Xenopus tropicalis: one gene and its partner. The protein of the gene in region 1 purifies or fractionates together with the protein of each later gene. This does not show direct contact. Links are inferred from orthologs where the notes say so. Each region holds a gene or a part of one and is shown on either strand. Other genes may lie near its edges. The genes, in order: erbb3 and grb2.

The links.
Region 2: the proteins of erbb3 (region 1) and grb2 purify together in Homo sapiens (affinity purification with mass spectrometry; 3 studies listed by BioGRID and IntAct, with this or other methods). This does not show direct contact. The link is inferred for Xenopus tropicalis from reciprocal best matches to the Homo sapiens genes ERBB3 and GRB2.

What each region holds. Positions count from the first base shown.
Region 1 is NC_030678.2:137,680,200-137,684,022, reverse strand, and holds part of erbb3 (receptor tyrosine-protein kinase erbB-3), read left to right. Parts: intron 1-432; coding exon 433-508; intron 509-633; coding exon 634-780; intron 781-1,124; coding exon 1,125-1,222; intron 1,223-1,628; coding exon 1,629-1,805; intron 1,806-1,981; coding exon 1,982-2,053; intron 2,054-3,041; coding exon 3,042-3,309; intron 3,310-3,823. UniProt on the Homo sapiens protein: Tyrosine-protein kinase that plays an essential role as cell surface receptor for neuregulins.
Region 2 is NC_030686.2:44,468,263-44,472,185, reverse strand, and holds the start of grb2 (growth factor receptor-bound protein 2), read left to right. Parts: upstream 1-1,229; 5' UTR 1,230-1,249; intron 1,250-1,274; exon of another isoform or gene 1,275-1,297; intron 1,298-3,923. UniProt on the Homo sapiens protein: Non-enzymatic adapter protein that plays a pivotal role in precisely regulated signaling cascades from cell surface receptors to cellular responses, including signaling transduction and gene expression.

The DNA of each region.
Region 1 (3,823 bases):
TTTTTTAGCAACAAGCTTTAAATTAACACAATTGTTCTAGGTGCATCCGGCATTATAGTTTCTAGCATGGATGTGTCAGGGGAATTTACCTGCTTTGGTTTTTGGATTTTTTTTTGTGGACAGGCCTGGACTGGTAATCTGTGGATTCTGGCAAATGCCAGAGCCTTCTCCTGTAAGAGTCACTATTTATTGGGCTCATGGGGGCTGTTTAGGTCTCTGTGTAATTATAATCCCAGGGCCTATTTTGAATCCCAGGCTGGGCCTGTACATACCCCTGTATCTGTTTATTTTACTTCTACATACACTGATTTATAATCAAATTCTGAAAAAAATCAAACTATCCAGTTCACTGAGAAAAATTTTTGAGATTTGATTAAAATTGTACTTTTGTTTTTATTTTTTTTTTAATGTACCTTTTTTGGTACTATGCAGACTCCCGTGAAATGGATGGCTCTGGAAAGTATACACTTTGGGAAGTACACTCATCAGAGTGACGTATGGAGCTATGGTACGTGGAACAGATACCCAAGGCATTATTGTGCTTCACACTGTCATGAACTATATATCATTACCTGCCCTGCCTTTACTCTTAACAATAGTCAGCAATGCCTTTATTTTTGGTTCCTCAAAAAGGTGTTACTCTATGGGAAATGATGACATTCGGTGCAGAACCATACACAGGGATTCGTTTGTCAGAAGTTCCTGACCTCCTAGAGAAAGGGGAGCGACTATCCCAACCACAAATATGCACCATTGATGTCTACATGGTAATGGTGAAATGTAAGTAGAGGTATTCGTTGCTAATCTGGGCTCTCTTAGGCATTAGCAGTACATAGAGATCATTAGAACCTCTCGGAGGCTTTCATGTAGGAGATATCCAGGTATAGGGTCTATTATCCAGAATGATTGGGACCTGGGGTTATCCTGGATAAGGGATCTTTTCGTAATTTTGATCACCATACCTTAAGTCTGCTAAAAATGATTTAAACATTCCTTAAACCTAACAGTATTGTTTTGCCATCAATGTGGATTCATGCAGCTTAGTACAAAGTACTGTTTTATTATTAAACAGCAAACTGTAAGAGCCTGATTGACTTGATTCTGTTACATTCTCTATTTTCTAGGCTGGATGATTGATGAAAATATTCGCCCTACGTTTAAAGAACTCGGAAATGAATTCACCCGTATGGCTAGGGATCCACCTCGCTACCTGGTTGTTACGGTGAGATGAATCTCTTATTGACTGGGTATCATTTATTATTGCCTCAGGGGTGCAAAATTCCATTATTGCTGGATTACATATACAAATCACAAGTGCTATGATACAGTTTGCTCTTCATATTTTTGACTTTCTTATCTTTGCCATTTAAGTATGACCTGCTTCTTATACAATTTTATTGGTGTAAATAATAGAAACCTGGAGACTTCCAGATCTTTTCCTTTTTTTTCTTACTTATTCGCTGGTGTAATGAAAGTAAAACCACATTTCAGCCATATAGCATGACAGATACCCAAGCAAGTTAAAGAAATGACTTTTAAAGACCAAATACATGTAAAAAATACATATAAAAAAAATGTTATTTTGATGATTGTGCACCTTGATGACATCTCTTTTCTTCTCCAAACAGCGCAATAGTGATGCACTTCAGTCCCCACTCCCAGGGGATCCACCACCTCTGTCTGAGAAACAAGTGAGTGATCTGGAGTCTGACGTGGACACTGACCTTGAGTCTGAAGACATGGCAATGCAGCCTAAAACTCCAACTACCCTATATGCCTCACGACAAAGAATTGACTACTCTAGGGTAAGGAAAACAGAGCCTATCAAAAAGGCTTGGGCAAGGAGGGATACAGGCATCATGCAGTGCATGTATATCTTTTTTTATACGTAGCACTTTCAGTTGCAATAGCACAGTCATAAAGTTGCACATGGGGGAATGGTAAGTTTTTTCTGTAAGTTAAATCTTGGCTTTCCTTTCAGAGTCAGAGTGCACTGAGCTCTATCGCTGGGTACCTGCCTATGAACCAGAGTCTTTGCAGCTCCTCAAGAAAGGTAAATTTGGGGTAAAAAAAAAGAATAGCAATGACCACTTAAGGCGGCATGTAGAATAACTTAACTAAGATCATTTTTATTCCTTTCCCAATAAAGTTTATTTAATGTGTACATTAATGTACTGACAGCTATGCCTAAAAAGATAGAAAAGATTTTGTGCCTAATTTTCTATATTTGGATTTATTATATTTTTGTATATATTTGTCACTACAGCAAAAGCCCTTGAGCAGATTGACAGATTACACACCAAGATATGCTAACAGCCCATTTTTATGCTCCAAAATACAAAGAATACATACATTCTAGGAAATAGCAATACAACAAAACTCATATGGGGTTATGTTATTAAAGACACTAAGGGGCTGATTTACTAATCCACGAATGGATCGAAAGCGTCCGAATGCGTTTTTTTTGTAATGATAGGTATTTTGCGATTTTTTCGTCGCCATCGCAATTTTTTTGTAGCCGTTACGACTTGCGCGAATTGTCGCGACTTTTTCGTAGCCGTCGCGAAAAAAACGGAAAGGTTTGCCTGCCGTTTACTACGACTCAATACGAAAAAGTCGCGACAATTTGCGCAAGTCGTAACGGCTGCGAAAAAGTAGCGACAATTTGTGCAAGTCGTAACAGCTACGAAAAAAAATGCAAAAAATACGAAAAAGTCGCAAAATGTTAATTTCCAATACGATTTTTTCCCATTTGGGATTCGGATTCGTGGATTAGTAAATCAGCCCCTAAGTTTGCCCAGGAGCAGTAACCCATAGCAACCAATCAGCAGGAAACATTGACTGGTCACCTATTTAAAAGCAAACATCTTATTGGTTGCTATGGGTTACCACTGCTGGGAAAACTTAGTACTTTTTATTACATATAGGGGACAGCAAGGTTTTCTGCCTGCATTACTCTTAACTAACCCTTCTGTTAAGAGTGAAAATGAACATCTGGGAAGATGTAGATGGGGGGTTTCTAACATGTGGGCTGTTTTCAGGGAACAATGACCTCTGCAGAACCAATTCCAAGACATGGGACACGCAGAAGAGAAGACTCACTTGGCCGAACAGTGTCAGAGTCATCAGAGGGCTGTTGTACTTCTTCAGACCTGGAGACAATAGAGGATAATTCCTATGGCGGAGGGAGCCTGAGCCACATTTCTCGCTCTCGCCTTGACAGTGCATACCGATCCCAAAGGGAGAGCCTCCTTGTTGGGACCCCTGATGATGACAGCGAGTATATCATGCCAGGGCTCAGTCAAAGTGGTGAGTATAGCACAGAAATCCTCTACTCAGAACTCTTGCTGAGAAAAATGGCATGTGCCCAAAACCTTATGGAAATGAAAGATATCCCTGACGCCATAAAGTGGCAAATGTCATCTTAAACCCAAAATATCCATATGTGAAAACAGACTGTATCAGCCAGTATTATGTTACAATTACATGAAATGCATTTGTTCTGCTGCAATTTTTAATTTCATTTACTCTCATTCACACTCTCATTTAAACCACTGCCTGCTCGTTAGGGTATATGGACTCTGGGCAACCAACCAACTGTAAATTACCTCAGAATATCACTATTTACATAATACTAAAAGTACTTTTGGTAAATTGTTTTCATTATATAAATAATGAAGGAGCAACAGTATGTATGAGGTAAAGTAATATACATTAGCTTGGGAATATGTAAACAGAGTAAAAAGTAAATGGCTAATAGAAAGACTGAGTTCTGGCCATTTTTACAGCTTGTACCCTTCCCTGGATAGTACAGCTCTGTAAG
Region 2 (3,923 bases), on another chromosome or scaffold:
CAACCTGTGGGTCGGGACCCCTTCGGGGGTCAAACAACCCTTTTACAGGGGTCGCATAAGACCATTGAAAAACACATATTTCTGATGTTCTTAGGAATAATTTTATGGTTGGGGGGTCACCACAACATGAGGAACTGTATTAAAGGGTCGCTGTATTTTTTTTTTCCAGTAAGACAACTATCAGTTGCTCCTCAATGTAGTATGTGTTATTTTACATCTACACCCCCTGCTGTGAGGGGGTCTTAACTGACCAATGGCGCAAATGCCCTCACCATAGGCGTTGGAACTGGGGGAGAGAATTACCCTCACCCCCCCTGGTTTTGGAAGTTGTGGCTAAACAGAGGCAGAGGGGTGGGCGGCACAAGTGGGGCCTCTCCTGGCCCCCAACCAAAAACATCTTCTGCTGCCCCTGCCATACCCATAAACTAGGGTTGCCACCTCTGCCAGCTGAGAAAGTGGGTGGGGGGAGAGGCGGGGTCATGACAATTGCCCGATCACTGAATCAATGCAGGAGGGTTTGACTTTCCCAAAACCAGGTTGTCTGGATCAAAACCGGACAGGTGGCAACCCTACCTTAAACTGGCCCTGGAATGTGGGAAGATATAGATGGGTTTCACACAGGACACCATTAAACACACAGGGAGAAGTCACCATGATAGGGTTCTGTGTAGGCTTGCCACCTTTTCTGGAGAAAAATACCATAATTCCTGTGTACAGCCAAGGGGAGAGTTACAGGTTTATTAGTGATGTGTACAGCCAAGGGGAGAGTTACAGGTTTATTAGTGATGTGTACAGCCAAGGGGAGAGTTACAGGTTTATTAGTGATGTGTACAGCCAAGGGGAGAGTTACAGGTTTATTAGTGATGTGTACAGCCAAGGGGAGAGTTACAGGTTTATTAGTGATGTGTACAGCCAAGGGGAGAGTTACAGGTTTATTAGTGATGTGTACAGCCAAGAGGAGAGTTGTGAATATTTGGTGACCATTTGGACACATGACTATAGATAACCAAATAACCGCAGTCATTGTCCCAAGCTCAAGCCGTATTGACAAAACATGGGCTGCCCCGCCCCTCAAGTGCGTTGCGTTTCACGTCTCATATGACGTCATGCGCCGTTCGCAGGGACTCACGCAGCCCCGGAAGTATCGCGGGAGGATCTGCCCCGGGGCGGAGCGGAAGCGGCCAGGGAGAGAGACAGGAGAAGCGGCTCCGCGGAATTCGGTGAGGGTTCTGAAAAGCTCTATCGAGAGGTGGGGAGATGAGTGTCAGCCGTGTCGTAGAAGTCGATGTAGCGGTGGGTGGGTGTCCGGCTGTTGTTGAGTTGAAAGTCCCATGGGCTGCCAGGGAGGAGGGGGGATAGTGGGAGCTGTAGTACAACAGCAGCAGCAGCAGGAGTGGCGCCCGTTGAAGGGGTGCGCAGAGCGATAGCGATGTTGTTGGGAAGGAGAGTGGGTGAGGGAGTTGGGGAGGCTGATGAGGGGCTGCCGGGTGTGGGGTCGGGAGCAGCCAGTTGCTGTGGGTATGGGTCGGGAGCAGCCAGTGGCTGTGGGTAGGGGTCGGGAGCAGCCAGTGGCTGTGGGTAGGGGTCGGGAGCAGCCAGTGGCTGTGGGTAGGGGTCGGGAGCAGCCAGTGGCTGTGGGTAGGGGTCGGGAGCAGCCAGTTGCTGTGGGTAGGGGTCGGGAGCAGCCAGTGGCTGTGGGTAGGGGTCGGGAGCAGCCAGTGGCTGTGGGTAGGGGTCGGGAGCAGCCAGTGGCTGTGGGTAGGGGTCGGGAGCAGCCAGTGGCTGTGGGTAGGGGTCGGGAGCAGCCAGTGGCTGTGGGTAAGGGAACTGCTGGGGGGAGAGAGGCAGAAAGGGGAAGTGGGGGGAATTGGGGAGACTGAGGGAAGTGCTGAGATGGGCTGAATGCAAGGGGAACTGATGGGGGGGAGATCTATATCAGGATTCCTCAGAAGGGAAGTGGGTAGGGAAATCACACAGCTTGGGGCCCTCCTACTTGTACATTCATTTATAGGGCCACAAGCCTTAGGAGGGGACCTGTGTAATGGGAGAAATGATAGTTTGCCGGGACTGACATCTCACTCTCTGGTGCTGCGGGCTACACTGGTTTCTGTGCAGCCATGATATATGCAGTCACAGTCATTAGCATGTGGATAGGGCCAGGTGGGGTCAGATGGGCCCACACAGTATGATTGGCTTTTAGCATCCCTACCAGACTCCTCATTGGCTTAATTAACCTTTGCTGAGTGATAGCTGACTGTGAGCATTGTGTCTTGGGAACAGTGTGTGACAGCTGTGACAAAGGAAAAGAGACTGCTGATGGGATACCATAGTGGGGGTAACACAGCGAGAGAGAGCAGATGTGCTGGGGGGGTGAAACCAGGGGCAGAACAGGGACAGTTGAGTAGCTGAATAGACTGGAAATTGAGATTAATGAGGGTGAAGCAAGGGGAGAAGTGAACTGTCAGAGGAGGATGATGATGGGTAAAATAGGGCAAATATTATACTGGCTTCCAGACAAGGGGCAGGGGGGGACACAGACTTGGCAACTAAGGGCAAGGTGGGAAAGGAAGAATAGAGTCTGTTCTGGGGGGACAAATTGCCCTCATTTAGATGTTATAATTCACCCCCAGTAGAAGTGAATGGGAATTGCCACTGGGTGTAAGACCTATACTCTGAGTAGGATATACAGACCTGCTGGGCTATAGGAGCAGAAGGGGGATTGGAGGATATATACCAAACCTGGGGGGGGGGGGGGATATAGACTGTATGTGAGGGCTGAGGGGACGCCTGCTGTTGCAAGTGGGAGAAAGAAAATCTGGGCTAGAGGCGCAGCTGCATGTATATTTATAGTGTATGTATATATTTATCTTGTGTTAATTACTTACTGTAGGAAATCAAATCTGGGGCAGTGTGGTGAGATTGGGGTATAATTCACATGCTGGTTTCTAGGGATGCACCGAATCTGGCGAACCCCCAAATCCTATATAAAGCATTTGACCGATTCCTAATTAGCATTGCACACAACGCGTGGCAAAAAATGTTTAACTTCCGTGTTTGCATGACAAAAAGTCTGGTGATTTTTCGGATTCCGTTCAGCCAGGACTGTGGATTCGGCTGAATCTTGGCCAAATACTGGATTCGGCGCATCCCTGCTGGTTTCTGACAGATGCCTGCAACATGCGGCATTTATTATTTATATTTATTATCTGTTTACTGGCTTAATTATGTACCCGGAACATCTTTTTCCCTCTGCTTTATTTAGCAGGATGGGGGCTGCCATTGAACTTAGTTCGTGCGAGCCTTTTCCCCCCATAGGTTTCGGTGGCAACATCGCCACCTGGTGGCCATTATTTGTTTCCTTCTTCATACTAGTTCTTCCTTGATGAATTTGTACTTTGTTCACTTCGTTATATTGTAACACAGCTATAGTCTTGGTTATTTGCATTTCCTCTTATGAGTATGTGGTTAACCCATTGTTATCTTTTATGCTGTCTTGCACTCCCATACACGCCACAATCAGGGTTATAAATTTCTTGGAATAACACTATTCACCTGTTATGGACTCTAGAGGTGCAGGCTTGATTGCATTTGGAATATATAGGCCTGATCACTGCATGCTCAGCGATCAAATACATGGCTCGGAACCTATCATATTGGGTTGGAATCTGCTGATAAAGGGTAGCTAATCGGCTTTGGGCCCCATAACATCTAGTTGTGCTGTTGAAACGGGCCCTTTAAAACACTTTATTTGTGGATTAGATGTATGTGAGAATATATTGAATGTGCAGTGTGGCTTATTTATATAAAGCACTTAACCCCACACGGTCAGGCAGCAGCATCCAGCTAAAGTGCTTGTGTAAACCAGGCAATTACGCAGTTACTTTCCCTTTCATGTGGATGTACATGTTTTGTTTTGGCTACCC